2 linked regions of the Rhinolophus ferrumequinum genome follow. The protein of the gene in region 2 interacts with the protein of the main gene of each other region in a biochemical or structural test. Links are inferred from orthologs where the notes say so. Each region holds a gene or a part of one and is shown on either strand. Other genes may lie near its edges. The genes, in order: COPS4 and COPS7A.

What was found.
Region 1: the proteins of COPS7A (region 2) and COPS4 form a complex in vitro, tested with the Homo sapiens proteins (2 studies listed by BioGRID). The link is inferred for Rhinolophus ferrumequinum from reciprocal best matches to the Homo sapiens genes COPS7A and COPS4.

Annotation. Positions count from the first base shown.
Region 1 is NC_046288.1:37,914,888-37,930,975, reverse strand, and holds the start of COPS4 (COP9 signalosome complex subunit 4), read right to left. Parts: upstream 7,342-16,088; 5' UTR 6,770-7,341; coding exon 6,696-6,769; intron 4,951-6,695; exon of another isoform or gene 4,867-4,950; intron 1-4,866. UniProt on the Homo sapiens protein: Component of the COP9 signalosome complex (CSN), a complex involved in various cellular and developmental processes.
Region 2 is NC_046293.1:23,921,729-23,937,078, reverse strand, and holds the start of COPS7A (COP9 signalosome complex subunit 7a), read right to left. Parts: upstream 5,790-15,350; 5' UTR 5,645-5,789; exon of another isoform or gene 5,482-5,644; intron 5,160-5,481; 5' UTR 5,117-5,159; coding exon 4,955-5,116; intron 3,281-4,954; coding exon 3,205-3,280; intron 2,977-3,204; coding exon 2,888-2,976; intron 1,912-2,887; coding exon 1,709-1,911; intron 1,040-1,708; coding exon 934-1,039; intron 771-933; coding exon 619-770; intron 463-618; coding exon 423-462; 3' UTR 1-422.

The sequences.
Region 1 (16,088 bases), on a different chromosome or scaffold from region 2:
GCGCTTTATATTCCAGAAAAAAAAAATTGCTACATTTGAGGCATAAAATTCAGTTATCTCATTCTTTCTCTCTGTCTACACACACACATTTTTCGTTATGTATATTTATACATGTATGTTATTGCCCTGGGCATGCTTTCAGTTAATACAGTCAATGGTTTATTATTTCTTTTTTTGATATTTTTCATACTCAATTAAATCAAGGCTTATGGCTAAGCCCTCTTATTCTTACATCCTCATAGATTATTTTACACTAATAATAACATTCAAAGATGATGTCTCACTTATAGAAATTTGCTGATTAACCTGAGTTTTTAATAACACAGTTTTCATAACTTATTAACTAATGTGTACTGGGAACACACCAAAATAAATCTAAAAAGTAATGAAAGCTTTATAGTAACAAATTGTATAATTGGCCAGGGCCTTAGAAATTGCCTACTCAAACTCTTGACTTTTATAGATTAAGGTACAGAGTTGGGGCTAGATGCTACCCTGCTCCTTCTCTAATACATAATTTCTAGTACCTAAGAACGAGGACTTACTTTTTTCACAATAATAATATAGAATGACTAAAAAACTTATTTTAAATCAGGGATTTAAATAGCCATTTAATACTGCCATATAAAAATCATCCAAAAATGCTGAGCACCTAGGCTTTTTAAAATGCTATATGAGATTCTGTGTATGACACTAAAAAAATTTCAAATAACCTTAGACTTTGAAGATCTTATCGCTGGGAAATAAAAAATAATATACCAAGTATTAAATTACAATAAAACAAAAGTTAAAATGAAACTGAACAGTGTAAGAGATATGACAAGTAATTATCTTAATTCAGAAGAGAGTAAAACCATAATGGGTTAGATTAGTCAGAGGAGGTTTCACAGAAAATAACAATAGCTTTTTATTGAGCACTCAGTATATACTCAGTGGAAAAGAAGGAAAAGTAATTGATATGGAGAACATGACAACTACCAAATATTTTTTCCTTAAGAAATATGGAGGAAAACAAATTTCAGTAATTAAGGCACCTTATATCTGTTTTATCCATTTATCATCAACAAATGTTTACTGAGCATTTAATATATATGCATGTGAACTCCAGTTCAGTATGTCAATCCTGATTTTTTGGCACTTAAAAGGAATCTGGAGGTAAATAAAACATATACACATGAAAATGTATCCCAGTCACTATTTAGGCATGTATTAACAAGATATTTCACTTACAGTAACGGTGAACTAGGTGATTAGACCAATCCTACCTCAAAAAAAGAAAAAAAAAAGTAAGCTAAAAGAAATATAAAAAAACAAACAGCATAAAATCCTAACAAGAAAGAGAAAACAGGTGAGAGTGAGAGCATAAAGACGTGAATCATAGCTTCTGCCTGAAAGCACTTGCTGACTGTGGCAAGACAGAGAGGTAGAGTGGCACTTTTGGTGGGGCGAAGGAGGTGGGTTCTGCTTTGAGGCATTCCGCCATCTGCTGGAAAAACAGAGAAGCAAGTCGCAATTTCTGGCCAACGAAGAGAGCTATACCAGAAAAACAGGGATCTCAGTTCCTTGCTGGCCAAAGGAGGAAACACTGGCACTTTGGAAATAAGATTACAAAATCTATTCCAAGGATCACCTAGGTAAATCAAAAAATTCTGAAGCCTTGGAACCTAGACGGCTAGCATCCCCAGGTACCTACCTGGCAGAAGGAAATGAACATCCTCCCTGAAAGGTAACATCCTAGGCCTCCAATTGTTTCTAAAAATACATTTTTAAATAATTGGCCTAACAAATGAAGATTACAAAGCACATGACAATATGAACTAGAATCAACAAAAGCGACAGGCAATAACAAACAGGAACTCCAGATACTAGTTATCAGAAAAACTATAATACAATTGTGTTTACCATGTTTATAGAAATAAAGACAAACTAAAGTTTCAGCAAGAAACTGGGAATCATAAAAAGTGTAATTTGAAAAAAGAACTACGAAAAACTGTAGGACTAAAATACTATAATCAAACTTAAAAACTCAATGGTGTTCTTAACAGCACATGTGAAGAACTGATAAACTAGAAAGCCGGTCAGAAGAACTTATCCAGAATAAAGCACTGACATGGTAAGTATAGGAGACAGGGTAAGAGACAGAGACCACAGTAAGAGGGCCAACAGGTGACACTGGAGGAGAAAACAGAATGGGACAGAGGCAACATTTAAAGAACTGTAGCTGAGGGGGGGTGGTTTATCACTTTGTGAAGGGTGTACAGGTCAATTACGCTGTTTTGTACACCTGAAACTAATTTATAAAAAGGGTAAAAAAATAATAAAAGAGTTACAGCTGAAAACTTCCCAGGGCAATGAAATAATCCAATCTATTGATTCAAGAAATGCAGTGAAGCTCAACAAGGATAATACAGTAGAGCATTTACAAAAAGAGGCCACAACTCTTTCACTTGCTGTACTAAGTTCCTTTGCAATGTGACTTTGTAGCTCTTCACAATTGAGAGGTAGTTTATTTCCGCACTCTTTCATCTGGGCTACTTTTGACCAATAGAGTGGAGAAGTGAAGTGCCTATTCTGAATCTAAACCTCAAGAGGCCATACATACGTCTTTATCTCTTGGCACCTTGCTGTTGTCACATGAACAAAGCAGACTAACCTATTGGATAACAAAGTATGTGGCGCGTGGCGCAGTCATCTCCACTGCCCCAGCCAACACGCAAAAGCAGAACTGCCTACCTGACCTGCAGCTGACTACAGGCACATGTTCGAGCCCACGTGGAACCCAGGCCATGTGGAGCAGAGAACCGTCCAGCTGAGCCCAGCCCAAACTGCCAACCAACAGCACTATGAGCTAAATAAATTACTGTTTTAACCCACTAAGTTTTACAGTGGTTTATTTCAAAACAAAAACTAATATTGATAAGTAAAAAAAAATCCACATAGACACATCAAAATGAAGTTGCAGAATATTAAAAGACAAAATCTTAAAAACAGGTAAGGGCTAATATAATTTTTTAGGAAAAATAATTTCCTAAAGAGGTTGATCTTTAAGCATTCTAAATATCTCAACTTCGTGGTAAGTGAGAAAGAGTGGGGGAAGACAGGCATGCTAGGCAAGAAAAAAAAAAATGACCATCTGAAATGCAATCCAGTTTCGTGAAAATAATATAAGGCCAAAAGGCAGATGTGTTTAGAGGTGAGGGCTATGAGCCAAGCGGGCTGTATTCTGGCCTTGCCACTAGCTAGCTATGTGGCCTTTGAACAAGGTATTCTACCTCTGTACTTCAGTTTTCTCATATGTAATATAAATCTTACTTTTTAAGAATCATTAAAAATGTCAGTAAAGTTGTGCTTGGCACAGAGTAAACATTAGATGTTAGGGAACTTCACTCTTGCGATGGAAACCACTAAACTGTTATGTGTGGGAACAAGAACCAGAGAATTTGAGTTAGAAGGGGCCTCCGAGGTTATACGCACATCGTCTATATGTTCTGTTTCGTGTGTGTGTGTGTGTGTGTGTGTGTCCTCCATTTTTTGACGGTTTTATTCCACTCTAATCCAAAGTCTACTTTTATAAAGCAGAGGAGTCTCTTTTCTTTCCTGTAAAACAGCTTTTCTATTAGTCAAAGGCACTAAAAGGTCTCCCATTACTTCCCTTTCTCCAGGCTAACAGCTTCTTATAAAATGAAATGTTTAGACTCCAAAGGTCTGATAGCTTCCTCTGAGTACCCTCCATACTGCAAAACTGGAAAGAAAAGAAAAATATAAAAGGTTCTATTTCTATAAGATTAACTCAACAAAAACCTATAATCCAACCTCATACTTGCCCTCAAAGAAATCATTCTAACTGGAGAAGCAAACAAGTAAACAGACCAAACAATTAAGCGCTACGATACAGGGAAATATAGGATGCCACTGAGCATAAGAGCAACTAACCAGGTCCTATGAGTGGGTGGTTGAGTTTATGTTAGTGGTTGTTTAGGGAAGATTTTTGGAAGAAGTAACATCTGAACTGAGTTTTGAAAAACTAAATAGGTTTTAGCTAAGTGAATAAGACAAGCTATCACAACAGCTATCTACTCAAATGTTCCCTGTTAAGGCTCTCTTCCTCTCCTTCTTGTCTAAGGCTTTTTTTTGAGAAAATGAACACAATGCATATATGTACAAAAGCAGCCTATAAAATTTGCAAAAATGCTTCTCCTATGGCCATTTGTTTATATCAATTTTACACTGTTGTGTTAAATCACAGTTATGGGAAACTATTTCTAATTGAAGTTTTGGCAAGAAAAGCAGTAGAGGTTGGTAGATTAAAAATGTGCTTTTTAGAGTAGACAAACCTGGATTCAAATATTAGTCCTGCACCTTTCTAGATATGTATTGAATCAAACAATATTTATTGAATGACTGCTCTGTTATAGATATCTTGTTAATTGCTGGGAACACATAGTATCAATATTTTAGAAACAAATTTTCTCCATCATTCCTTAATATGGAATGCTATGTTACTCAACTCCTAATGGAAACCCAAAACTACTGCTATATTTCATGAGGGTTATTCTCATAAAGCATGTAGCTGGCAGAACTATTTTGTTACTAAAATAAATATCCTGACACGTTCTTGCCCACATAGAACCAGATATGTACCTGCACGCAAGGCTGAAACTTTCCTCAGAAAGCACTGGCTATCAGTTATCAAGCACATTATCTCTTTTAATCTTCACAGAACTCCATGGGATAGATTGTTTGGCCTCCAATGAATTATGCCTCCTTCTGACCAAGCGCCTTTGCAATGTCACTTGGCCACTCCCTCCATAAAAAGGTAAACTCCATTTCCCCTCCCCTTGAATCTGGGCTGCTCTTGTTACTTACTTTGGTACTTGAGAAGTGATGTTGTAAGACTTCCAAGGCTAGCCTTAAGAGGTCTTGGCAGTTTCCACTCTCACTTTGTTGGTCCTGTAAGGAAGCCTTAGCTAAACAACTGAATGAAAGACCGACCATGTGGAGAGAGAGAGAGACCCAGCCAACAGCCATATATGTATGTGAGTCCATTTTAGCCCCACCAGCCCCAGCTGAGCTGCCAGCTAACTGCACCTGTCTGAGTGAGCCCAAACAAGACCAGCAAAACAGTCTAGTCAACCCAAAGAATCCTAAAAAAATAATAGTTATTCTACACCAGTAAGTTTTTGGTTTGTTACACAGCAATAAATAACTGAAGCACCCAATAAGATCGGTACTATTGTTTATCTGCAATTAGAACTGAGGAATTAAATGCTTAAGTTTCAGAATTCTGCAAATACATAAAAACTACATCTCTTCTGATAACTAATGCACTTATTTTCTTCAAGAAAACAAAGAAAGCAAGCATGGGAAAAAAATATAAGCTAGTTTTACTTTCATCCAAACCTATAAAAATTAGGTTTGCAAAAGGATTTGGTTTGCAAAAATGCAAAAAGGATTGAGCCATGAAGACATATTCAACATATTTTCAACCTATAGAATAAGTCAATATGTAATTATTAACTGCTTAATAATAATAATAGTGACAATCTTGTGGCACTTTCTAAGTGTCAGGTACTGTGCTAAGTGATATAAGTATTTATACACACATACTCATTTTGTCCTCAGACAGGAATAAGTCCTCTAATTATCCCCATTTTCCTGAGGGGGAAATTGCCACAGGAAGTAAAACCTACGATACACGGCAAAATTTCCTACTGATAAAAGTAGATTACATTTACCACCAGAGAAAAGGCAGCAAAGCCCACATAACACACAGTCAAGGTTTCAATGGTCAGGTAAGAGTAGGTGTATCCTATATATCAAAGTGATCTCAGCTGTCAGGATGTAAATACTACGTAGGATCAAATTGAGATGCATACTTTAAACAGAATGCATGTTCATTATAAAAGGACAGCAATGTGAAATCTACAAAGAGAAATAGACAATCTCTATCTATCTATGATTAGCACTGTTGAATAACTGCTTGCAGTGCAGGCAATTGTCACGAATTTTAACTTGCTAATAAGCCATCTACACAAACTTCGACAAAATTCCTAACCAATCCAGATTCCTACAAACATCACTACTCTCGATATCCTGACCCATATTTTAAGGACATTCCGACCATGTGCCCTTCTTCAGAGTTGGTGGCAGAGAGAGAGTACCCAAAACACAAGAACCCACAGAAGATGATCCGAGTGGTTCCGGACGACATGATAGCGGCCATACCTCCTCAACGCCCAAGAGCCTCAAGAAGCCATCTCCCTAAAAAACTCTGCATCGAGCTCCCAGAATATAAATTTCCCTCAATTTAAAAAAAAAAAAAAAGAGGTCCAAAGAGGTGCCAGAATTCGGTGTGAGAGGCCAGCCAGCGATGGAGAAAGGCACCAGGGAAGCTGAGAAGGCCGTGGGAGCAGTCGTCCCTCAGACCGCGCTTCCACAATCTTAAGAGACCAGTTCAGCTATCAAGCGCTGAACAAATTGACAGTCACCCTAGGTCTATGGTCCCAAGAGCTCCCTGCACGAGGACTCCTCCAGCTTTCTGCTGCACCCAACATTTGCCTCCACAACCGACCTCAGGCCCGCCCCCCTGATCCTCAGGGCTGCTCCTAGCCACACATCCGAAAGCCTCCGTCAACCCAAGGGGAACAAGTCTGTGGCTTCCCTCCCCACCTCCCATGGCCTTGGGAAATACTCACTTGCCCGCCAGATCTTTATGAGAACCGCTCGAATTCATGAGCTGGGCCAAATCTTGTCGCACGGCTGCCGCCATCTTTCTTCCAGCTCAGCCGAGGCTGCCGGGCCTCTCACAGCCAAAAAGAAAACGAGTGTAGTCCTCCAGAGCGCAGCCAGAGGGAACCCGAGATGCCATAGAGTAACGTCTGTGTGGGCCAGAGCGCCGGGTGTGTGAGCCTGCGCTACGTCCGCCCCCAGGGTTGAGTGACGCGAAGGCTCCACTCTTCAAGTCCGGAGCCCGCCCTGGCCTCTCCCGCAGGCTCAAGCTCGCACGCTCGCAGTTCGGATTGGCGGACGAACTCATAGTGTGTCACTTGTGCAACTCCAGTAAGTGCCGGGTACGCAGAACCACCGCGTCTTCATTGTGTTCCGTGCTTCACCTCTGTGGTTTACCGTTCCTCGTTCTTTCAGGCAGCTCTTAAACTACCTGTGGTAAAGAACGAGTTGCTTTTATTGCCAATTTATCACAGCCCAGTTCTTTTGTAAAATACAATATAAAATGTCCACATCCCCCCTCCTACTCTATATCCTTTTTATAGGTTGGTCATACATCCAGTTTGTCCAGGACAGTGCCGTTTTCCATCTGTTGTCCAGGAGTAATTATTAATAACACGTCCTTTCACTCTAGAAACAGTACCACCTGGATGACAAATTATACAGTCACCCTATCTTTATATGTAATTGTATTCATTACTTATCTATCCACAGAATACTGCAAATACAAGCAAATAAATAAATGTAAGTCTTTCTCCTTTCTTGCTTTCATAAAAGATGTCACCCCACATCATTATTCTGCTCTTGATTTTTTCACTTTTGCTGGTGACCATACTACCATATAAGTCTAGAGAGCGTCCTCATTCTGTTTTAGAGCTGGAGAATATTACATATAATGAGGGGATGCCATAGTTTATTTAATCCTTAGAGCTAGACACTTAAATTGTTTTTAATCAATCAATGCTGGTATGAATAACCTTATACATGAATCATTTTGCATGTGTACAGGTAGAATATATTCTAAGTAGAGAGTCAAACGGTAGATATAATTTTTATAAATATTGCCAAATTGCACTTTATAGGGATGTTACCATTTTTGCCTTTCTACCAGCAGTATGTAGGAATGCAATGCTCTACAGCCTTGCCTACAAAGGATATCAAACTTTTGAATTTTTGCCATCTTGATATGTAAAAAAAATAACATGATCCCTCTATTGGAAAAGGGTAAGAAAAGAAGACCAGAAGGAGGAAATCCTGTAAGAAAATAATGTGAAGGTTGCCCACATCAATTCAAATCTTGCTCCACTGGCAAGAACTACATCAAGTGCACTTGCCTAGCAACAATGAGACTGGAAATTTAATTTCCAGTTAGGCAGGCTTTTGCCCAGGAAAAAGGAAAGGATTGCTTTAGAAGGACAATCAGCAGTCTCTACTAGTTTGTCCCTCTGACCACCTAAATAACTATGTGTATCTTTCTCCTTACAGAACACTGTCACCCCTAAAGAAGATAGTTCAATTTTTCATTCAGTTTCTATATCAGATCGCTTCTCAGCCTTTTGGCTAAGATCAAGTGTAGTTTTTATATCAGTTCAAAATCCAGGATGTCTGATGATGCACAGTCTTCTCCATTAATTAGAATGTGGATTTTCATGGTCTAGAAACATATAAACTATAAAATATATTATCTGCTTCATGTCCATACCTGTAACACAAAACAATAGTGGAACAGGAACAGAATAACCACAGTCAAAACTCTGAAAAAGTAAATAGGAAACAACAGCAGTTATTTGTCTGTGGCAATAGTGGAATTCTGGGCAGTAATGTGAACACCCACTACCCCGGTAGTGGAATAAGTTCCTCGGTTAAACCGTAGTTCTGCTCTTTGAGAGGATCTCTATTGTCCATTGTGTTCTGTGGGCTCAACCTTTGTCAGTACAGGTTAACAGGGTGTTGGAGAGTATTTCTTCTTGGAGGGAATGCCTTAGGGCTTGAACAACTGGAGGCTTTTGTAGGCCAGGATTCTCAGTGTTTGGTTTTTCAAAAAAAATATAATTTCATTGAATGTTCAGTAAACCCAGTTTGCTTCCAGACAGTTTCAGGTGCCAAGACCAAAACCAAAGTTGTTTCTAGACGTAGTTGTTAAACCTGCCTTATTTCCTAGCTTCCACACTCAACCCATTCTTAATATTTTTCATGATGGCAGCCTTGAAATCATCTGAAACAATAGGTTTAAATGAGAAGAGAATTCTATTAATTTGATTTTTGCTTCGGCTTATCTTTATTTTTTGTTGTTTTTTATTTGTGTTTGCCAAAAAGTTTTAATGGGCTATGAGAAATCTCTAAGCAATGTCTTCTCTTCTGCTATTTAAGGGTACATAAGCACTTGCCTTTTTCAACTTAGTGAAACCCCAGAATTTCTGGACATTCTATTCCCTTTTTACACTGACTCCCAACTTCACTTGTAATTCCTTGCTGAAAGCAAAAAGAAGCAGCCACACACACAAATTGGCTCTTAACAGATAACTCCACTTGAGCTACAAGTTAGGGATGTTTTCTGCCTTCCTACTTAATGTATGCAACAATGTGATAATTTTTCAACATGACAAAGCCTCCCCTTTCTGGACCACTAGTTACCTCTTCCCAACCTCTAAGAGAATAGTACCTATTTTTAGGTTTTGCTTATAGCAGTGAAGAAAAACAAACCCAGATGGAAGCTTATTCTAACCATCTTTTCAGTTGCTTAGCAAGAAGTTGCTAGGCATATCTGAATTAACTGAAGGAAAGTGCACAAATCTTACTTCTTTGTACTATTCAAAACCTGTGTCCTAGTCCCAACCTACTGAGTCAAAATTGTCATCTTAACAAAATCCCTCTAGTAATCCTTGTACATTAAAATTTGGGTAGTACTGCTCCAGCAGATGCCAACACAACTGGTATAGCAGCTCTCCTCACTAAACTCTTGTCTAATAACACCATTTCCCTGGCTAGGAAACTCCCATTTTTACATATTCAACTAGATGTTCTATCCCCTCAATTGCCCCCCAAACAAGCAACGGAAGTCATCCTGGGGTCCTTTTCCTAGCTCATCTTCCATTCTAAGTCCCATGTGTCCAGGTCGTATATGCCTTGCTGGAGAAGAAAAAAGAACATAGGTGAGTGTATGTATTCTGCTGTTTTCTAAGCACTAATTCTTACTCTACGTTTATTCCACATGTTGTTAGTGCTGTGTAACAAATTTGTTTTAGAGTGATCTTGTGTGTTTCCTAGCCTAGACCCAGAATTAGCCATTTCTCCAAGAAGCCCTTATTTCTTTAGTTCCTCTTAGGAACTGATATTTACAGATAGCATTCTAGTGCTAGGTATTCTCATTGCTACTGTATTGGTCATTTGGGGAAATTTTCATAGAACAGAACTAGGAAATATATACATATTTTAAGGATGAAATAACTCATGAGTTCATACTGGTACTCCAAATCTAATTTAAGTGTTTTTACTTAACCTCTCCTGTGTATTACAACTATATCTCCTTGTACATCCAGAATCCTGGTTCACAGTACATAGAGGATTAGAGAATCAGTAAGTTTCATAATTATTCATTTCATTCATTCCATGTTATACACACAACAGCCTCAGCATAACAATACTAATACCTACCACGCCCCAATATGATTGCTGAAAAGAATTCAATATTTTCCTGCTATTCCTCTCCCCATTTCCTCTCATTTTTGTAATTCTAGTATGTCTATATTATGAGCACATACAGCCATTAAAACAATACTTTCTTCATTTCATCTTAGTTCTATAAGTAATACATATTTAATGCTCACCATTTGCTCTTATATTGATACCTCTCTAGCCATCTTAGTTGTCTGAAGCTAGTTCTTTACTAGGTTTCTCAGGAAGTGCTCATGAAGACCATATTCTTGCATGTTCCTGTATGTTCGTAACATCTTGTGCCTTTTATGTTTGAAAATCTGTTCTGTTAGATATAATAAACCTTGATTCACTTTTTGAGAATCTTAAGTGTGGCTGGCACTCCATATTCTTGTGACATAAAACATTTTTGAAAAATATCTCATGAGAGCCTAATTTTCTTTCCCTTATAAATCACTTACTCTTTTTGCCTAATGCTCCCCAATTTTTCCTCCTCTAATATCAGGTAATTTTACTAGACTATATGCTGGTGTTGGTCATTCTCGGTCGATTTTCTCAGGTACACAGTGTGCCTTTTCAATATGTAGTTTCAATTTTTTTCAACAACATTATCTTTAATTATATTTTTGTACTTCTTCTTTTTGTTTCTTTCTTCAGAAACTACTATTATCTATATGTTAGATCTTCTTCACCTAGCTTTAATATTAGTCATTTTCCTCAAAATCTTTTTATTTCTTTTTTCACATCTTTTTTTATTTTAAAAAATGTCTTCCTTTTTAACTCTCTTAAGACACCACCTGCCATTTTTATTTACTCCTGGTTTCCTCTTAGTTTAATCTTCATTACTAAAATGTTATTTTTATTTCTAATTCTTTCCTGAGTTCTGCCACATATTCTGGGTGTTTCTTTCATGTCCTGTATCATTTTCCTTTAAATTTAACTAGTGTGAAAAGTGTATTAAGGCTTAAATAAAAGTATGTCATCTTTTCAATTTAACTAGTGATTACTTTCCCTTTTCTGATATTCACTATCAAACACTTTTTCTGTAATAATATGTGAGAACAGGTATTCAGCCATTTCCTCCCTTCTAGACATTTTAGTCCCCCATTGTCTCTTTATTACACCTCAATAAATGAGACTCATAATATTTTTAATTCCCCACCCCTCACTCCTAGTTGAGACCTTTAGAACATACTTACTTTTGCCCCTCTATCACCACATAATTCCTAGGTTTCACTAAGAAAAATTGGTACTTTTGTTCCATTTCTCCAAGTATTTGGTTTTCCTTTGCAATGTGTCTATTTTAGCAATCCTTAATTTACTACTTGTGTTATTATAATTCCTAGTGACCTTGTCATTATTTACTTACATTGCTGTGTACATTTAAAGAAATTACTCACCACAAATTTCCCTTTTCTTCATCTTCCCTGTCTTGATATGAGGTCTCTGTTCTGATTGTTTTATTGTCTGGTAGTGTTCACTCTTAGGTGATCCCTCAGATGCTGTGCATGGGTACATTTGTGAATCTGCATATTCACAAATATCTTCCTATCATCCTGACAGCTGAATGAGATTTGCGCTGAGCTGCTGGCTGTCTTTTTCCCTCAGTGAACTGTAAATGGTACTCCAGTCTTCTAGCTTCTAGGATTTTAGATGAAAAGTCCAGAGCCAGTTTCTCTGTCTCTCTGTTTCTCTCTCTCTCTCTCTCTCTCTCTCTCTCTCTCTCTCTCTCTCTCTCCCCCCCCCCCTTCTTCTCCCTTTCTTTCTTATCTTTGAGAGACTGAATATGCAAACAGAAATGGCAAGACCATATATAAAAATAAAGCTCTGACCCACAATCTGTAGCAATCATTCCAGGAAGCCAAACAACTGTAGCAATCAGCCCAAAATGTCAACTACTCCATAAATAACTGACAGATTCCCAAATTTTTGCCCCTACTTCTAACTTAGGTCCCACCAGCGAAAGCCAAGTATGTTCCCCTAACCAATCACATAGGGTGCCCCACTTCAATTAAGGCTGCTTGACAGCTTCCCCATGCCAACAGCCTCTAATTAGGGCGTACCTGAATTTCCTTTGTACCACTACAAAGCTTTCCCACTCCTCTGCCTGCCTTTGCCTCACTGTTTAACAGGTGATGGTGGCCAACTCCCTTGCTATGAAAAGCTCTGAATAAATAGCCTTTAATTGTTCTCATTTGGTCACTCTGTGTTTATTTCCACAACTTCCTCTTCTTTCTACTTCTCCCTTTCCTTTTCCTCCTCCTCTCGTTCCCCCAGCTCCCTGTCCTCCTTGTTCTTCTTGTTTTTCTTCTTTTTATAGGTAACTTGTTCCTTCCACCTGGAAATTTTTAAGATCTCTTTACAGTGGTTTTCCTCAGATACGAAGTGTGTCTTTATTCATTGATCTTAGCTGAAACTCCATGACCCCTTTCATCTGCAAATGCAAGTCTGTCCTTAGTTCAGGGAAACTTTTTATTATTATTTGTTTAATTGTGACCTCTCTTTTACCTGTTCCTTTCTCTCCTTCTGAAACTCCAAATAGTCATATATCAGGTCTCTTGGATTATCTTCAAAGTGACTTGCCTTTGCCTCATAATTTCTCTCTTTACATTTTTTGCTCTGTGATTTGAGATATCTTTTCCACTATTTGGACTTTTCCACTATTTAGCAAGATTTAATCTCCTGCAATATATCTTCAATGTTGTGTTTTTAAAATCATGATTTTCATATGTTTACTTTTGTAAAAATGTTATAGCTGCTTTATTTATAATAGCACCAAGTGAAAACAACCCAAATGTTCATCATCAGGAAAGTGGGTAAACTAGGTGTGGTATATTCATTCACTAGAATATTACTTAGCATTGAAAAGAAAAAAATTACAGACACGTGTTTAAAAAAATGTTCACCTGGATATACAAGTAGTATCCCATCTAGCAACTAGAAAGGTGCTCCAAGGAGTTTTACAAAGTGGAAGGTTTTTAAAGGCAGAAAGAGGGTGGACAAGAAAGTAAGGAGAGTGGATTATTTCAGGCAAGGTTACCTTCCCTTAGGGGAAGTTTTATCAAGCAGATTACTTAACTAGTGTTGACCAGGGAATTCCATCTAGACTGATTTGTTTAAAATTCCACTCCTGGGAGAGGCTGAAACTGCAGTATGGTTAGGTGTAAAGGCTTTGTGGGGCTTGTCAAAAGCGAGTCCATTTTGAATTTGTTATATATTTTTAACACATGGAACAACATGAATGAATATCAAAAACACTATACTGAGTGAAAGAAGCCAGACATAAAAAATTTATATAGTCATCCCCCCTATCCACAGGGGATAGTACCAAACCCTATATATACCCTTTTTTTCCCCATACATACCTACCTATGATAAAGTTTAGTTTATAAATTGGACACAGTAAGAGATTAACAACAATAACTAATAATAAAATAGAACAATTATAACAATGTACTGTAATAAAAGCTATGTGAATGTGGTCTCTCTTCTCAAAATATCTTATTGTACTGAATTCACCTTTTCACCCTAAAGCAGCACTTTACAGCTTCTCTTTGGCACATCCAAATTGCCAGCATCACTACTCTTGCTCTTTGGGGCCATTATTAAGTAAAGTAAGAGTTTCTTGAACAGAAGCACTGTGGAACCATCTCAGTCAATCTGGTAACTCAGATGGCTACTAAGTGGCTAACGGGCAATAGCGTATACAGCTTGGATAAGCTGGACAAAGGGGTGATGCATGTCCTGGGCATGATGGCGCGCGACAGCACGAGATTTCATTATGATGCTCAGAATGGTGCACAATGTAAAATGTACGAATTGTTTATTTCTGGAATTTTCCATTTAATATTCTTGGACTGGCCTATGGTTTGCCATAGCTTGATTGTCCTGAATTGCAAATGAGTTTATTCAGGAATAAACTCATTTGCTAGTAAAATAATTGGCTATTTTATTTTTGAGGTTGACATTATGGTTCCATCTACATGTAGTTCTAAATGTGATAAAACTAGTCTATGGTGATAGAAAATCAGAAATTGTCTGGGAAGGGTGACAGTTTACTGGGAAGTAGTAGGAGGTGATAGAAACGTTCTATATGTTGGTAGGGGTGGGGGTTATATGGGTGTATATATTTATCAAAGTTCATCAAACTGTACACTTAAGATCTGTGCATTTCACTAAATGTAAAACCTCAATTTAAAAAGGGAATGAAACTATGCTTTTTGTTCCATAGTCTCGTGTATAGATATTGAATTTAGTCTTCTTAAGTGCTTTTATTTATGTATTTATATGTTATTTATGATTTAAGTTGTCTTCTGTCTTCTCTAGTGGTTTCAAAGGCTAATGCTTATCCAGCCTCAGAGGAAGAGAAGTTTCAACACAATGGTTCTGCTTCCCCAAAGCTCCTCTGGTGTCAGGATGACCAGCAGGTCCTCTTAAGAACAGTGCCCAGCCAGGTCCTATTCTTCCCCTTAGAGGTCCATACACTTTCTCCTTCTTCAAGAGTGTGTTCTGATCCTCTTCCCTTTTGATCTCTAGATTCACTGTAACCTTACGCTTCACTCATGCCATCTACTGCCCACTGTGTCTGTCTGCTGGCTCCCATATACTCATGTTTCAAGTGGGGTCATATAGTTGAATTGGAAGTGGAGAGAAAAGTGAAAGAGAGAGGTGAAAAGCGAGAGCTCTGAGAAATACAAAGACAATTAGAAAGAGGTGGATTAGGAGACTAAGTAGAAGGACTATGCTGGGTAAAAACTGGGATGAGAATTGTGGTTCAACAATAGAGACCCTCAGATTCTCTTAATAAAATAACACCTGGAGGAGTTCCAGCTTCTGCCTCAGTATAGAGTGCTGGAAAAAGCATTGCTCTCACCACCACCACAATAATCTAAGTAATGTACAAAATCATAACTTTTTCTGAGCCAATCAAAGAGCTGAGGTCACAGGGCAACAACTAGCCTGAAACCTAAGGAAAGACAGGTGCTTCTAAACACAAATGAGATGCAAGCACTGGGTTATCTGTGGCAGAGCTTGGGAAGGAAGATGGTGTAGCCATACAAACAGGAAAGAAGAATTCTGCTAAATTTTAAAATAAATTGCTAAAGACGGAGTGTGGGCTGGCAGGGAACCCCATGGGAGGCACAATCATAAGGGGAGTTCACATCCACTCCCAGGGTCTTCTCCAGGGACTTCCACGGGGCACCAAGGACAAAGATTTGGAGTAGGGTGGCGGACAGAAACAGGCTGCTGGGTGGTAAAGTCCTAGAGGAGAGGAGTGGCTGCCACTGTAAGAAAGGCAACAAGACGCCCAGACCTTGTCCCCCAAGGAACAAAAGACTTCCATTGATGGAGGAAGGCAACAAACCTGTTTTTCCCCAAAGGACATGTGGAGACCCATTGCAGCTGGAGGAATAGGAAAAAGGGGAAAAACCTTGAATCCTGGGAGAGAACTGGAAACTGTTGTGCCCAGACCATTAGAGGTTATAATGCTGAGGGAGGATTAGGGCCACGGAGACCCAAGGACCCAGAGCCTGCCCAAGAATGAAGTTGGAACAGGACCCACCGCAGAGAAGCTGTTTTCCTTCCCCTCATCCCCACAATCAGTCTAGCAAGCACCAAGTAACAAGCATTCACTGCTGGAAAAAGGCAAGAGCTTAGAGTGACCCTCTCTGAGTGGCAAGAACACAGAAGGCCTAACTAAAACTGGA
Region 2 (15,350 bases):
TAGGGAACAGAACTGGGGATTAGGCATGCAGGGGTGAGGTGGTACAACAAGGAACATATGTGGGTTATACTGCAGGCATCGCAGCCCCACCTACTCAATGACACATAATAAACAAGGACACATGCTGGCTCTTAAAAATATACGGGAGAGAGCATGGCAGCGAAGATAAGTAGGACAATGGGACACATAAGAAAGTCACATAAAACAAAAAGTACCAACAAAAACATGACTTGTACTTGCCTCCTCCCTAGAGAAGGGGTGATCTATGCTTGGGGTTGGGGAAGAGAAGAAGGGAGGTGAAAGAAAGGTCATGAACCTAGGATTATCAGCTGGCCAGGGGCACAGGAAGGCTCTTTGAGGACTCCTAAGGGGCAGGCAGACAGCTGGGATCCCGTATCTCCAGCGAAGAAACGACAGTCCCTTCAGTTCGACTTGGACCAAATCTTGGCACTCCCTCGGAGCCTGGCAAGAGAAGACAGAGAGGCTGCAGGGACTCCCCAAATGCCTAAAGGCGCCCCCATCCCCTACCCCCATGACTAAAGGGAGTGAGGGCAGCCAGGTCTCTGAAGGAAAAGCAGGGCACCTTGGAAGCAAGCAGGTCCTGCCACATTGGCTTACCCCTTGCCTTTTGAGGCTTTCTTGCTGGGCTGGCGCTGGTTGGTGCCAGCAGCTGGTTCCCTCAGTTCAGTCAAGTGTTGCTCAGGGTCCTGAGATGTGGCTGCGGCTGCTGCTGCTGTTGTAACTTTAATGGTTTTTTTAAGGTTGGCGACCTGCCAGGATGAAAGGAGTGGAAGATAACAAGGAAGGTTCCAGAACCTGACAGTCCCTGCCCACCTTGCCTGTCTGCTCCAGCCCCTGTCCAAACCCCTTTGCACTGGACAACTGGCCCAGGCTGCAGGAGCCTGGGTCTGTCTTGCTGTCCTGCCAACTCACCTCACTCTCAATCTGCTGCTTCAGGCCCAGCTGCTGCTCCTTGTGCTGGTTGGCACGGCTCACCTGCTCCTCGATGCCTGACAGCACTACCTCACAGCCCACACACCTGCAGGAATCGGGAGTGAGAAGCAGCAGGAGAGCTGTGATGACAGACTCACTAAAAAAAGATTCAGAAAGGACCCTAGATCCTGGTATCCAAACCCTTTTCTGAGTTAGGAACCCTCACCAGGGCACCTGGAAACCACCTGCAACAATATTCCCAGGAGCCAGAAGGACACTCAGGTAGGAGAAGAGAGCTATAAGGAAGTACCTGGAGTGATGTATAAGATGGGATTAGGAACTGAAAACAAAATGGGATAGGAGAAGCTAAAGAGAAAAAAAAAAGGTGTATGAATTAACTAAGGTTAGGGAAGGACACAAGGAGAAAAGCCAAAGTGGAAGAGGTCCAGGACCTATGGACAATCAATGCTGGTTACAGATCAATGGGTTGAATCCAGCCTAAGAGGTGACCAACCTCCCAGTGAGGATCCTCTAAGAGTACCACTCCCCTTTCCCTCCCCCAATTACTATACCAAGGACACCATCTCCTGCCTCTTGCCTCCCAACCCCTCCTCCACTCCTTTCCTCTCTGAGAAGCCTTTGGAGGAACAAGCTCATTTCCCTTCATCCACCTGGATTCCACCTCTGCAGCCCAGCCCAGCCTTCACGCCTCCAAAGCACATCTCCCTTTCTTGGGGTGAGAAGAGAAGGGACAATGCCAGGACACAGGTCTCACCACTCCTGTAGGGTTCGGGCAATGGCACTGAGGTCCTGGCGCTGGATGTCCCGCCCAATGCTGTAGTCAACCTCTAGCCGCTGATTGCGCTGGTCCAGGGAGCCACGCAGCACATCGGCGTACACAGCCTCAATGACAAGGTCTTCCAGCTGCCTCACGTTACGCAGGGCAAGGGCCTCCAGCAACACTGCATATGGGATACACTGGGGCCCAGGGAGGTCGGGCTGGGATTTGTGAGGTTCTGCTGCAGAGAGAGGCTTCCAACATTCTTCTTCCTTCCTTTCCCCAGCCTAGGCTCCCCTGCCTACCCTCCCCTCCTACTCCTAAATATGTCTTCTAAAAGGTTGGTTCTAAAGCAAAATAAATAAAAGTATTCCCACCTGAAAAATAATAGCATGAGAAGGACAATCTTAAAATGGAAGATTTATGCTCTCCTCCCATCCTTACCTCCCACACCACAGAGGAAGAAAGTGACCTCTACGTGGGTGTCAATCCTCTGGCCACAGCTCAAGGTAGCACTCAGACCTTGGTCAAGATCAGCTTGACATAATGGGAGTGTGTGGTGAGGGAGAGGTCCGGAGTTACTGTTCACCATTTACACACTGCGTACTTCCAAAGAGGCTTCTCACAATAGAGAGCCTGATTTAAGTAAAATCATGAAAACAACGGGAGAGCCTAGTAACAATTGGGAGAGTGCAGATGGGCGGGAGGGGGATATTTAACGAAAAACCAAACCTAACAGGAAATATAGAGACACTTCCAGGTTACATTATTTCTTATTCTAGGAAATAGAAGCCTAGTATTCCACCAGCAGACAGAACCGTGTTCCCAGCTCTGAGCGTGGAGGCTGTTTGGATGGGAATTTCTATAATGGGGAGGAGGGTGATTGTTGAACAACACAGTGAATGGCATCCTAGTTGCTATTTGGACCCAAAACTAAAGATGTTTAGAATTTGATTAAAAAATTAAAAGAACAGAAAATTAAGAGAATATTTAGCCTAAAAGGCTGCAGGTAATGGAGTTCAAATACAGACCTTGGAGGGACATGGCGGGGAAAGCAGAAAGAAGCAACAGTGTGGTCAACGGCTGTCCAAGTACAAATTCTCTTCAGACAGGCCCTTGTGAAGGGCTATACAAAAGGATGCTCTTTGGCTCAGGACTGGGGGAACTATCACTCACCTTGACTTTGGCAGCCAGGGTGACGACGGACAGGTGTCGAAGCTTATTCTTCTGAGCCTCTGTGAGCGGGGGAAGATTCCGGGCTTCAGCTAGGAAAAAAGGACAAAGTATAGGAAATTCTGATTCCCTTCTTGTGGGAAGGCCTAGCCTCCTTCCACTGATTTTTTTTTTTTTCAGTTGTCCATGCCAATTCAGGCTTGACCCAAGACTCTGTGTACCTAAGGGATCTAAGTAGGGTACCCCAGGAACTTCTAAGTCCCTCCAGAAAATGCCCTTCTCCCACCTCCACTACTCTAGAGCTCCAGCCCTCTGGTTACCTAGGTAGTCAGCATATGTCCCATAAGCAAACACCGTGAGCAGGCGGAACGTTGAAGCAAAGTCACTCTCAGCCAGCTGCAAGAATATGAGGGAAGAGATGACAGGAAGAAGGGCCTCTCTGTTCACCTCCTCCCAGCCTTTCCCTGTTTCAAACCCCACTTTCTGGCCCCATCGTTCGTCTCCATTAACTCTCCCAGCTCACTGAGAGGAACTGTCTGCATCTTTCATCACTCTCCCCATAGGAAGGCCTCATTTCCACCGCTAGGCCTTTGCTTACACTGCTCCCCCAAACCTACAATGCCCTCTTCCTCCATATGCCCCCAATTCCTACCCTAAATTCAGAGTTTAAAACATTCATAGCGTTCAGTATCTAACACACACACACACCCAACATTGCAAATGGTGTTGTTTGGTCCTTAGAGTGTGTTTAATATTTGTGAGTTTGATTATCTTTAGGCAGTTTGTTATACTCCCCTATTCACCAGACTCCTGCCTCAGCCTCACTCATCTCTGACAGCTACATGGCCTAGGCAGTCATTGGAATTTGTGGCCTCTGCTTCAGACCTGCCTCACCCAGGGGGCTTTCTCATCCAGGGCAGCCCACCTAGATCTCCTTTTCTATCACTGATCACTCATTCTGGCACTTATTCAATCAAACCCTACCTAAGGTTGTTACCTAAGAATGTATTTCTTTCCAACAGGATTATAGACCTAGTCTCTGGTATCCCACTTAGGTCTAGCAGAGTTAAGTATGTAGTTGGCTCTCTCAATAAATACTTGCTAAATAAATGATATGTACATGTATATCCATTCGTCTGATCTCTGTAACTGGGAAGTAAGTTTCAGAAGGATAAGCTCTATTGTCTCTTACTTTTCTGGCATTCCCAGACAACTAGCAGAGTGCTAAATATACATACAATATGTGCTTTTTCTTCACCTTGACTGAATATCTTTAGTTCCACTGCAGAGGAAAGCAGGGAAAGAAGGCAGCCAGTTTTCTCCGTACCACAGAGTGATCCCAGAAGGCTAAATCCGCTGACTCAATCACTGGCCCTCAACAATTTAACTCATAGTTTGCCCACATACCACTGTCATAGCATCTCAGGACTTGGGCTGGTGTCATATATCTTGGCGACTCACCCACCCTGGATTTTAAACTCTTAACTCTGCCACGTCTGTGTGAATAGTTCTCTATGCTGTGTTTCTAGCATCTTGCCACATGTCTTTATGAAAAAGGACAGCTTCTACCTGATCTAATTTAAGTGAATTAGCATATGGTGCAAAGAGGGGAGTACAGGGCATGCCAATCTCATGTTACATTCCTTCCATTTATACCCGACTTCACACTTTCTCATAATTTCATCTGATTTTTATAGTAACGGTGAGGGGGCATTATCAGCTCCATTTTTAAAAGAGAAAACTGAGCCCCTAAAATAAAAGTATCCTGATCAAGGTGACATGATTATTAAGGGCTATTACATTGGTGGAGACAGGCTGGAATCAGGTCTCCTATTCTGAATAACAGGCTCTTTTGCTTAAGAATATCGGGTTTCACAGATCACTTATCCTCAAAGGGAAACTAAGAGGCTTACTTGTGTACTTAGTACTCTTGCAAGATGCCAGTTAATCATCATCCTATTCTTGTTCAACTGAATGGTTATGGGGTTACAAAATGAGCCCTGCCCCCCCATTCTCAAATTCAAACTTTAGCCCCAAGCTTCCCTGTGGGCTATCCAGGTCAGGACCCACCTCTCTAACATTAGGCATATCCAGCAGTTCCCCAAACACGTAGACACCAGGGGCCTCCAGCACTTGGTGGATGAGTGTGGCCAGTGCTGCCCCCTTGGCCGACTTGGCCAGGAGCAGAAATTGCTCCTGGTTCTGCCCTGTCACCTTCACCTCGGCACTCATGGCTGCACTGAGCTGGGGGTACTTGGGCTCAGGATGTCTGGACCTGAAAGGAAAGAGGATGTGAAAATGGAGGTCCCTAAACAGTGGGGGAATGGGAAGCACAGGGCTAGGGGCTGATTGCAGAGGCACCGAGTCACTTCTGCAAAGAGGAATCAGAGACGGAGCAGTCTAAAGCTCGGACCTCGGAATCCTAATACGGGGCCACTTTGATGGAAGCCTGGCTGATACAAGGTTGCCACGCCCACCCTCCTCCCACACTTGGGCCTAACCCCAAAACCCACCACATGCACCCCAATGAACCCCAAAGCACAAGATGCAGTGGGGGAATGGGTGTCACATGGTGTCCATCCCAGTGACGACGCTACCTCGTATCTCCACTTGTGTCCCGCAGGTGCCCCCAACCACGTGACCTCACCCTCAAGATCCTTCCACGTGGCTCCGCCCCCTCCCTTAAAGAGGCCGCCCCGGGACCGCGGGCTCCCGCCGACTGCTGTGTCGTACCCTGGAATAGACTCTGCGGGCCGCTACCTGGAAGCTTCGTCTTCCAGAGCACGGGGCGGGACCGTCGCTCCGTCACCTCCGGCAGCTGTTCCGAGCCTTTCCTGCCACCTCCATGCAGGGTCGCTCTGGCCACTAAACTCTATGGATGACTTCCGGCCGCACTTCCGCTCTTACTAGGCGGGTTTGGGGCGGGATATTCCTCGCTCTCGCCTTCCGACTGCTGAAGTAGCTGTGAGCGACACACGCATTCTACTCTCTGATTGACTGTTGAGGAAAGACTGACGGGCGCTTTTTTCGTGCTTTGTTTCAATAAAACTTTATTGTTGGCCAGCGCTAGACGCTAACTGTAGAGAGAACCTCTGATCTCAGGCAGGTACCGGGTGGTTCTGTGTCAGTTCCAAGCTGCCAGAAATCTGGAGACCTGGCTGCACGGGGGTCCCTGAGGCGAGAGGAAGGCTGTCATGGGAAAAGAGGAGGAAAAACAGGGGGGAGGGGCGGGAAGCGGGATTTGAGGAGGAGAGTGGAAGGAGACCATATCAATAATAGAAGTTTAGCAGCAGAGATCATCTGGGTAGTTCAACCACTCATTTTTTTGAGGAGCAAGAGAAAAGAAGTGGAAAAGGTAAATAACTTACATGTATTGAGTCAGGCATCTTTTAAAATTTTATCCCATTGAATCCTCATAACTACAGCGTCCCTAGTGTGACTCCTGGACACCATCTATCTTGATTACAACATGTACTTATAGAGTGATGCTTTCCTGAACATTGACTCTTTTAATTCTTTGGGGAGGAAAAAAACCTAGGTGTAAGGAAGGCATGTATTATTATCGTTTTACAGATGAGGAAACTGGGGTTCAAGTCTTTTCAAACCCGAAATCATCTTTCCACTTCACCATGATACTTTTTTTTGGGGGGAGGGTCACTATTTATTTAGGACAAATACTCCACATCTGTGATTCTCTCCAGTCAGAAGTTCTTTGAGACGATGCTGACAGCCTTGGCCAGTCGGAGAATGGAGTCATCTGACTCACCCATCCTGTGAATGGCCCCACAGATAGCGTAGGTTTTAAACGCCATTGAACCTGCCTGTCACCTTGTCAACCTCAGACACATTCATCTGGATGGATGTATGGTCCTTGGCGCCGATGATATGGTTGCTGGCGGGGCATTTCTGCGGCACATACAGGTCCACGAACTCGCCTGCGTCGTTCTGCACGTTGGGGGAGCACCTGGTGCCACCACGACGAGTGTGAGCACAGAAAGCTCACCATGATACTTTAGGGGAAAAAAATTAACTAACATTTCTATACTGTTTTATATTTCATACCGGGTTTGCAGAAGTTCAGATGAGAATAAAAGTTAATGACGTCTTGGAGGCTTTTGTGTTAAGCACTGAGCTAAGAGCTTTACTTAATTCGTTTGATGCTTATAACAACAACCTATTATTGTTTCCATTTTCCAGATTGAAAATCTGAGAGCCAAGGAAGTTAAGTAATTTATATGTAAATGAAAGAGGAGAACGTGGAAAAAGAGGACAGTAAATAAGAGAAAATCATAAGACTGGTAGACTACTGCAGCTGAAGGGACTTTAAACTTAAAATTTATGGTCCACATGGTGTGGTTTCTAGAAGAAAATGGGAAGCAGAAATAGGAAAGGAGAGAAAGAGAAGAAAAAGAAGAAGGAGAAAGAGGTGGAAGAGGAGAAAGAAGAAATGAATGGAAGAGATGACACATAAAAGTGAGAAGAAATCAAAGACATAATAAAATATCCAAAGTTTGAAGGAACCAAAGAATTATGAGTTCAATCTTATCAATTTAAAGAGGAAAAGAAAAAAAATGAGGAAAGAACGAGAAAAGAGCCAACTATGTTCTATTATGTTCTATTAGGTCTTTATTTTTAAAACTTTTAAAAAAGTCTTTATTTTTTTTAGAGTAGTTTTAGGTTTACAATAAAATTGAGAGGAAGGAACAGAGATTTCCCATATAACCCCTGCTCCTACACATGCATTGTCGCATCCAGCGCAACAAGGGCAGTGAGGGTGCGAGAAGGGGCGGTTTGCGTTAAGTTTTTAAGACAGAAACAAACGGAGACTTAATGCAGTTAAATCTCTCAGAAGGCCAGGGGTCTGTCAGTCTCAGAGGGCTGGAGCCCAGAATAAGGCTGACTGAAGGTTTTTATTGATAGGTATACAAACACAAGAAAGTAACATTGTTTCTTACACGGTCTGTGAGACTCATACATCATAGTAGAAAAATGTTTATTCCAATCACCCTTTGTCTATAAACAGCCGAAGCACAAGGTCCCATGATGTCTAACCTAAGGTATGTACCTTTTTAGGGTCAAGTCTCTCATATTGTAACAGCTCCATTGAGATAAGTGAGAGAACTGATCTTTGTTGTCTTCATGATTTTTCTCACAAACAGGTGCAAGGGAAAAGCCAGAGCCGGCAACAGACTTTCCCAGGCAGGGGGAAGGGGAGGCAAGGCCCCTTTTCATATTTCTCTAAGGCAGCTCATTAGGGGTCCCCACTCGGTTCCGCCTGGCTTAGGTTGTATCTCCCATGAGGTATCTTATGTCTTTGGCTGCAAACCATCTTTTGGGGACCGGACAGAGAGACATAAGGTGTAAACACAAGGATGGAACAGAGTCCCAGAAAGGCACAGTCTTACAGACTCTTCTTTCCTTAAGGAAAGACACGGGGGGACAGTTGGCTAGGCTGCTGTGTGACTACAATGCATAACTTCCCCCATTATCAACATCACTCACCAGAATGGTACTTTTTTTTTTTCCAAGGATGAACTTATATTGACACATTATAATCATCCAAAATCCATGGTTTACCAAAGGATTCCCTTTTGGTGGTGTACAATAAGTGGGTTTGTATGACATACATCCATCGTTTAATATCACACAGAGTATTTTCACTGTCCTAAAATTTCTATGTTCTCTGCCTATTTATCTTTCCCCACCCCCCACTCCTGATACCTACTAATATTTTTTTTTTCTTACTAATCTTTTTATTGTCTCCATAGTTTTACCTTTTCCAGGATATCATAGTGTGGGAATCATACAATATGTAGCCTTCTCAGATTGGCTTCTTTCACTTTAAGTTTCCTCCATGTCTTTTCATGACTTGATAGCTAATTTCTTTTTAGCACCAAATAGTATTACATTGTCTGGATGTACCACAGTTTATTTATCCATTCACCTACTGAAGGACATATTGGTTGCTTCCAAGTTTTGGCAATTATGAATAAAGCTGCTATAAACATCTATGTCCAGTTGTGTGTGTGTGTGTGTGTGTGTGTACATAGTTTTTTACTCCTTTGGGTAAACACCAAGTAACGTGATTGCTGGGTCATGAGTAAGTGTGTTTAATTTTGTAAGAAACCACCAAACTGTCTTCCAAAGTAGCTGCACCATTTTGCATTCCCACCAACAATGTATAATTCCTATTGCTCCACATCCTGGCCACCTTTTAGTGTTGTTAGTATTCCAGAATTTGGTCATGCTAATAGGTGTGTAGTGATATCTTGTTTTAATTTGCATTTCCCTGATGACATAAGATGTGGAGCATTTTTTCATATACCTACTTGCTGTCTGTATATCTTCTTTGGTGAAATCATTGTTTGGGTCAAATTGTCTGTTTTCTTATTGAGTTTTAAGAGTTCTTTGCATATTTTGATTAATAGTCCTTTATCAGATTTGCCTTTTGCAAATATTTTCTTCCAGTCTGTGGCTTGTCTTCTAATTCTCTTGATATTGCCTATCTCAGAGCAGAAGTTTTAAATTTTAGTTAAGTCCAGCTTATCAATGATTTCTTTCATCAATCATGTCTTTGGTGTTGTCTCTAAAAAAGGCATCACCATACTCAGGGTCATCTAGGTTTGTACTTATGTTATCTTCTAGGAGTTTTATAGTTTTGCATTTTACATGTCCCAGTCTATGTAGGTCTGTGATCCACTTTAATTTTTCTGAAAGTTGTGTGTGTATTCAAAGTCTGTGACTAGATTCATTTTTTTTGCATGAGAATGTCCAGTTGTTCCAGCACCATTTGTTGAAGAGACCATCTTTGATCCATTGTATTGCCTTTGCTTCTTTGTTAATGATTAGTTGACTATATTTATGGGGGTCTATTTCTGGGCTCTCTATTCTGTTCCATTGATCTATTTGTTTATTTTTTTGGCAATACTACACTAGCTTTATCACTATAGCCTTACAGTAAGTCTTGAAGTCAGGTAGTGTCAGTCTTCCAACTTTGTTCTTCTCTTTTAATATTGTATTGGCTATTCTGGGTCTTTGCCTCTTCATATAAACTTTAGAATCAATTGTTGATATCCATAAAATAACTTCCTGGGTTTGTGATTGGAATTCCATTGAATCTGTAGGTCAAGTTTGGAAGAACCTGACAATATTGAGTCTTCTTATCCATGAATATGGATTATTTCTCCATTTTTAAAGTTTCTTCTTTAATTTTGTCCATCAGAGTTTTGTAGTTTTCCTTATATAGACTTTATATATATTTTGTTAGATTTCTACTTAAGTATTTCAGTTTTGGGGTGCTAAGGTAGATGGTATTGCATTTTTTATTTCAAATTCCACTTGTTCATTGTTAGCATATCAGTAATTAATTTTTGTATATTAATCTTGCATCCTTCAATCTTATTATAATTGCTTATTATTTAGTTCGAAAAGAATTTTTTTGGTTGATTCTTTTGGAGTTTCTATATAAATTATTACATCATCTGCAAAGACAGTTTTATGTCTTCCTTCCCAGTTTATATACCTTTTATTTCCTTTTCTTGCTTTATTGCATTAGCAAAAATTTCCAGTATAATGTCAAAAAGGAATGGTGAGATGGGACAGCCTTGCCTTGTACCTGATCTTAGTGAGAAAGTTTTGAGTTTCTCACCATTAATTATGATGTTAGATGTATAGGATTTTTGTTATTGTTGTTGTTCAACTTTTTATAAGTTTTAATGACAACCCTTTGAGGTGCATATTAATATCTCAGTTAACCTGTAAAAATACCAGGGATCACAGAAGTTAATTTGTTGTGGCGGCCAGATGGTTCAGTTGGTTAGAGCGTGAGCTCTTAACAACAAGGTTGCTGGTTCAATTCCCACATGGGCCAATGAACTGCGCCCTCCACAACTAGACCGAAAACAATGACTTGACTTGGAGCTGATGGGTCCTGGAAAAATACACTGTTCACCAATATTCCCCAATATAATAATAATAATAATAATAATAATAATAATAATAATAATAATAATAATTTGAAGGTCACCAGTATAAGTGGTGGAACTGAGATCCAAATGCAAGTTTGTCGGATTCCAACACTGTGTTAAGAAAGAGATGAAAAAAGAAAGAAGAGAGGAAGAAGAAAGAGATAATTTGAGATCTAGTCTTGATTCAGCCATGAACTAGCTGTGACCTTAAAGCAAATTGTGTCATCTGTGGTATCTCCTCTTTCATGTTTGCAAAGTGAGAGATAAATAAAATCCCCAAGGCCAATTCTGATTCTGATGTTTTATGGTTCTGTGAGAAAAAGAGGAGGAAAAGGAGAAAAGGAGAAAACAAGTGGAAAAGGAGAATTTGGAGAAAGAGAGGAGAGGGATAGACAAAAGAAGTGAGATCAGAAAGAGCAGAGACAGAAGAGGAGGAAGAATAGATGTAAGAAAGAAGTAGAAATGGGAAAAGTGGGAAGAAAAGTAAAGATCTCCAAGGGGAGGATGGAAGCTAATTAAACTTAAACATAACCTAGGATATATCGTTCATTCATTTGTTACTAAGTGACAGTTGTGTACAAGGCATGTGCCAGGTGCTGTGTTTTTGTTGTTGTTTGTTTGTTTTTAATTTTTATTGGGGAATGTCAGGGAACAGTGTGCTTTTCCAGGGCCCATCAGCTCCAAGTCGTTGTCCTTCAATCTAGTTATGGAGGTCACAGATCAGCTCCAAGTCCAGTTGCCGTTTTCAATCTTAGTTGCAGGGGGCGCAGCCCACCATCCCATGCGGGAATTGAACCAGCAACCCTGTTGTTCAGAACTTGCGCTCTAACCAACTGAGCCATCGGCTGCTCCAGGTGCTGTGTTTTTAATGCTAAGGATAGAACACAAGATGCACTTAAATAAATCCAGAGAGGCTGACTGACATTCAAGGTGTCAGACACATAATAAATAAAATATTCATCATGGATTCAAAAGGTATATATTGAGCACCTCTTATTGCCAGGCATTGTTCTATCTACTAGAGATATAGACACAATTCCTGCTCTCTTGGTATTTACATTTTTTTGGTGAGACTCAGGCAATAAATACATAAATATACATATACATAAATATTATGTAGAAAAACAAGAGGGAGATGGAGATGTTTTCTGTTTTATATATGGTAATAAAGAAAAGCCTCTCTAATAAGGTAACAATGGAGCAGAGACCTTAAAAAAAAAAGAGCAAGTCATGTGAATTTCTTTGAGGACAGTGTTCTAGGCAGAGCAAACTACAAGTACAAAGATGAGAACATATTTAATGTATTTGAAGAACAGCAAGGGGACCTGTATGGCTAGAGCAGAGTGAGCAATGAGAGAAGTAGTGGAAGAGACCAGAGAGAGAACAAGCCAGATCATATCAGACCTTGTGGGCCATTGTAAGGACATTGGTTCTTCCTTTGAGTGAGATGGGCAGCCAAGGGAGGATTTGAGAGAGGAGTAACGGGATATAACCACCCATATGTTTAAAATATGATGGCTGCACGGACAGAAGTAACAAGTCCAATTAGGAAACTACTGCAATTATCTAGGCAAGAGATGGTGGTGGTAGCAATGGAAGTGAGAAGTGGTTGGGTTCTGAATTTGATTTAAAGCTAGAGTGAACAGAATTTGCAAATGGATTAGATGTGAGGTGTGAGAGGAGAAAGGGTTAAGAATAACGTCGTACAGGCAAGCTGCACCAAATTTCAAAATGCAGATCATTTTAACCTTATACAAACTTTTCCTGAAAAATAGGAAAATAAAGGACACTCCTCAACTCATTCTATGGGACCAGAATTACTTTGATAAGCCAACCAGAAAAGGCAATACTAGAAAGGAAAATTATAGGTCAATCTCATTTATTAAGAAAGATATAAAAATCTTCAATAAAATACTAGCAAACTGAATCCAGCTATGTGCAAAAGAGATCAAAATCCAAGACTAACTTGAATTTATATCAGGAATTTCAGGGTAGCTTAATATTAGAAAATGCATTCATTTTATTCATCACATTAAGAGACTAAAGGAATAAATCACAGAATCATCTCAATAAATACAAAAAAGCACGTGATGAAATCAACAAACATTTGTGATCAAAAAATCTTTTAGAAAGCTAGAAGGGCACTTGTTAATCTGATAAAGGAATGCCTGGTATCACCAATTCTATTCAGTCTTTTAATGGGGATCCTGGCCAGAGTCAGAAAAGGGGAAAAGAAAAGTTGAAGGATTACATAAAAACAGAAACAAAGCTGTTACCATCTATAGAAAGTGTGAAAATGTGATAGCATATGTAGAAAATTCAAAAGAATCTACAAATAAATTATTAGAAAAAGAGCTTAACAAAATTTCTTGACAAAAATGTACAAAATCAATTATGTATCTCTATATAAACAACGAGATGATGAATAATTTTAAGTTACCACTTGCAATAGAATGAAAAATATCAAATACCAAGGTATAAATGTAAGAAAATATGTGTAAGACCTATATGCAGCAAATTATAATTTGTTGTGAGACATTGAAGAGGGCCTAACATAAATGGAGAAATATTATCATGTTCATAGATTAAAAGTCTCAATATCAGGAGGAAGTCAATTCTCCCCACAGTGATTTATAGATTCAGTACAATCCTGATCAAAATCCCAACAGCCTTCTTTGTGATTGAGTGGAACTGACAAACTGATTCTAAAATTTACATGGAAATGCAAAAGGACAAGAATGGACTCTTGAAGATGAACAAGATGGAAAGACTTGCTTTTTACCAAATACTAGAATATAATTACAAAATCATAAAAATTGAGATAGTATTGGCACAAGATAGATAAATTGATCACTGGAACATAATACAGAGCCAAAGAACAGACTCACATATATATAGACACTTGGTTTATGAGAGTTTGCACTTTTGAGCAACACATTTCAATGTTGCTGTGACCATTGAGTGTCTATATGAAAAAAATAAAACAAAACCCCTACCTTAAACCATATACAAATATCATTACCTACTATACAATAGACTAAATGTAAAAGACAAATTAAAAGCCTTTTAGAAGATAATATAGAAAAATATATACATGAGTCCGGGGTAAGGAAACATTTCTTAAGACTCAAATACACTAACCATAACAGAAAAGATTGATAAATTTGACTACATTAAAATCAAGAACATCTGTTCATCAAAAGATAAGCCACAGAATAGAAGGAAGCATTTGTAACATATTTAACTGACCAAGGATATGTCCAAAATGTATAAAGGACTTCTACAAATGAATAAGAAAACCCTAACAATAAAAATTATTAATATAAACTAAAGACCTGAACTACCACTTTACAAGAGGAAATCCACAAGGTCAACAAACATTTGACAAGGTGCTGGACCTCATTCATCATCAGAGACATGCAAATTGAATCCATAATAAAATATCATGGTATGCACCAGAATAGCTAAAATTAAAGTCTGAAAAATATTAAGTACTGACAAGAATATGAAACAAGAGAAATTCTCATATATAATTAATGAGAGTACAAGTAGTTAAACCACTTTGGAAAAGAGTTTAGCATTATCTAACAAAATGGAAGATACCCCATGATACAGCAATTCCACTCCTACGTATGTAACAAATATATATAGTATTATTACATATATGTCTTCAAAAGCAGACAGAAGAAACTATATTGTTAAGTAATGCACACATATATGGGAAACTGTTAAGAAAAGCAAGGAAGTGGTTGCCATAAAAGTCAGAATACTACATACCTTTGGTGAGGAAGAAATGGTGTATGACTGATTCGAGAAACACAGTCCTTTTTGAATACTAGCCAGGTTCTTTTAGTTAGCCTGGATGGTGGTTACATGAGTATTTTCTCTATAAGTATTCCCTTTGTAAGTGTTCAATATACTTTATATTCATGTCTTGTTTTATTTATCTTTGTGTGTTATTATTTCACAAAATTAGAAATGGGCTTTTAAAAAGCATTTAATTCAACACCTACACATGACAAAACCCTTAGCAAACTAGGAATAGAAGTGGTCTTATTTAATTTGATAAAAGTTATTTTTTAAAAAGCTCTAGCAAACACCACTCTTACTGGAAAAGCTTTGGAAGTGTTTTTAAAACCAGAACAAAAGAAAGATACTAGCTATCACTACTCGTATTTAACATTGCACTAACGGTCCTGGCCAGCACAAGAAAAGGAAGTTAAAGCCATGGTATGGGAAAAGAAAAAGCAAATTGTCATCATTTGCAAATGACATGATTATCTTTGCAGAAAATTAAAAAAATCTATAGAAATACTATTATACAAAAGAGAGAGTTTATCAAGGTGGTTGGCTCTAAAATCAGTATTACAAATCAACTGCATTTCAAAATAGCAGCAAAAACAATTTGAAATGTAATCTTAAAAAATATCATTTACCATAAGAGAAAAGCAATAAACTACCCAGGAAGAAGAAAAGATGTGCATTATCTGCATGCAGAA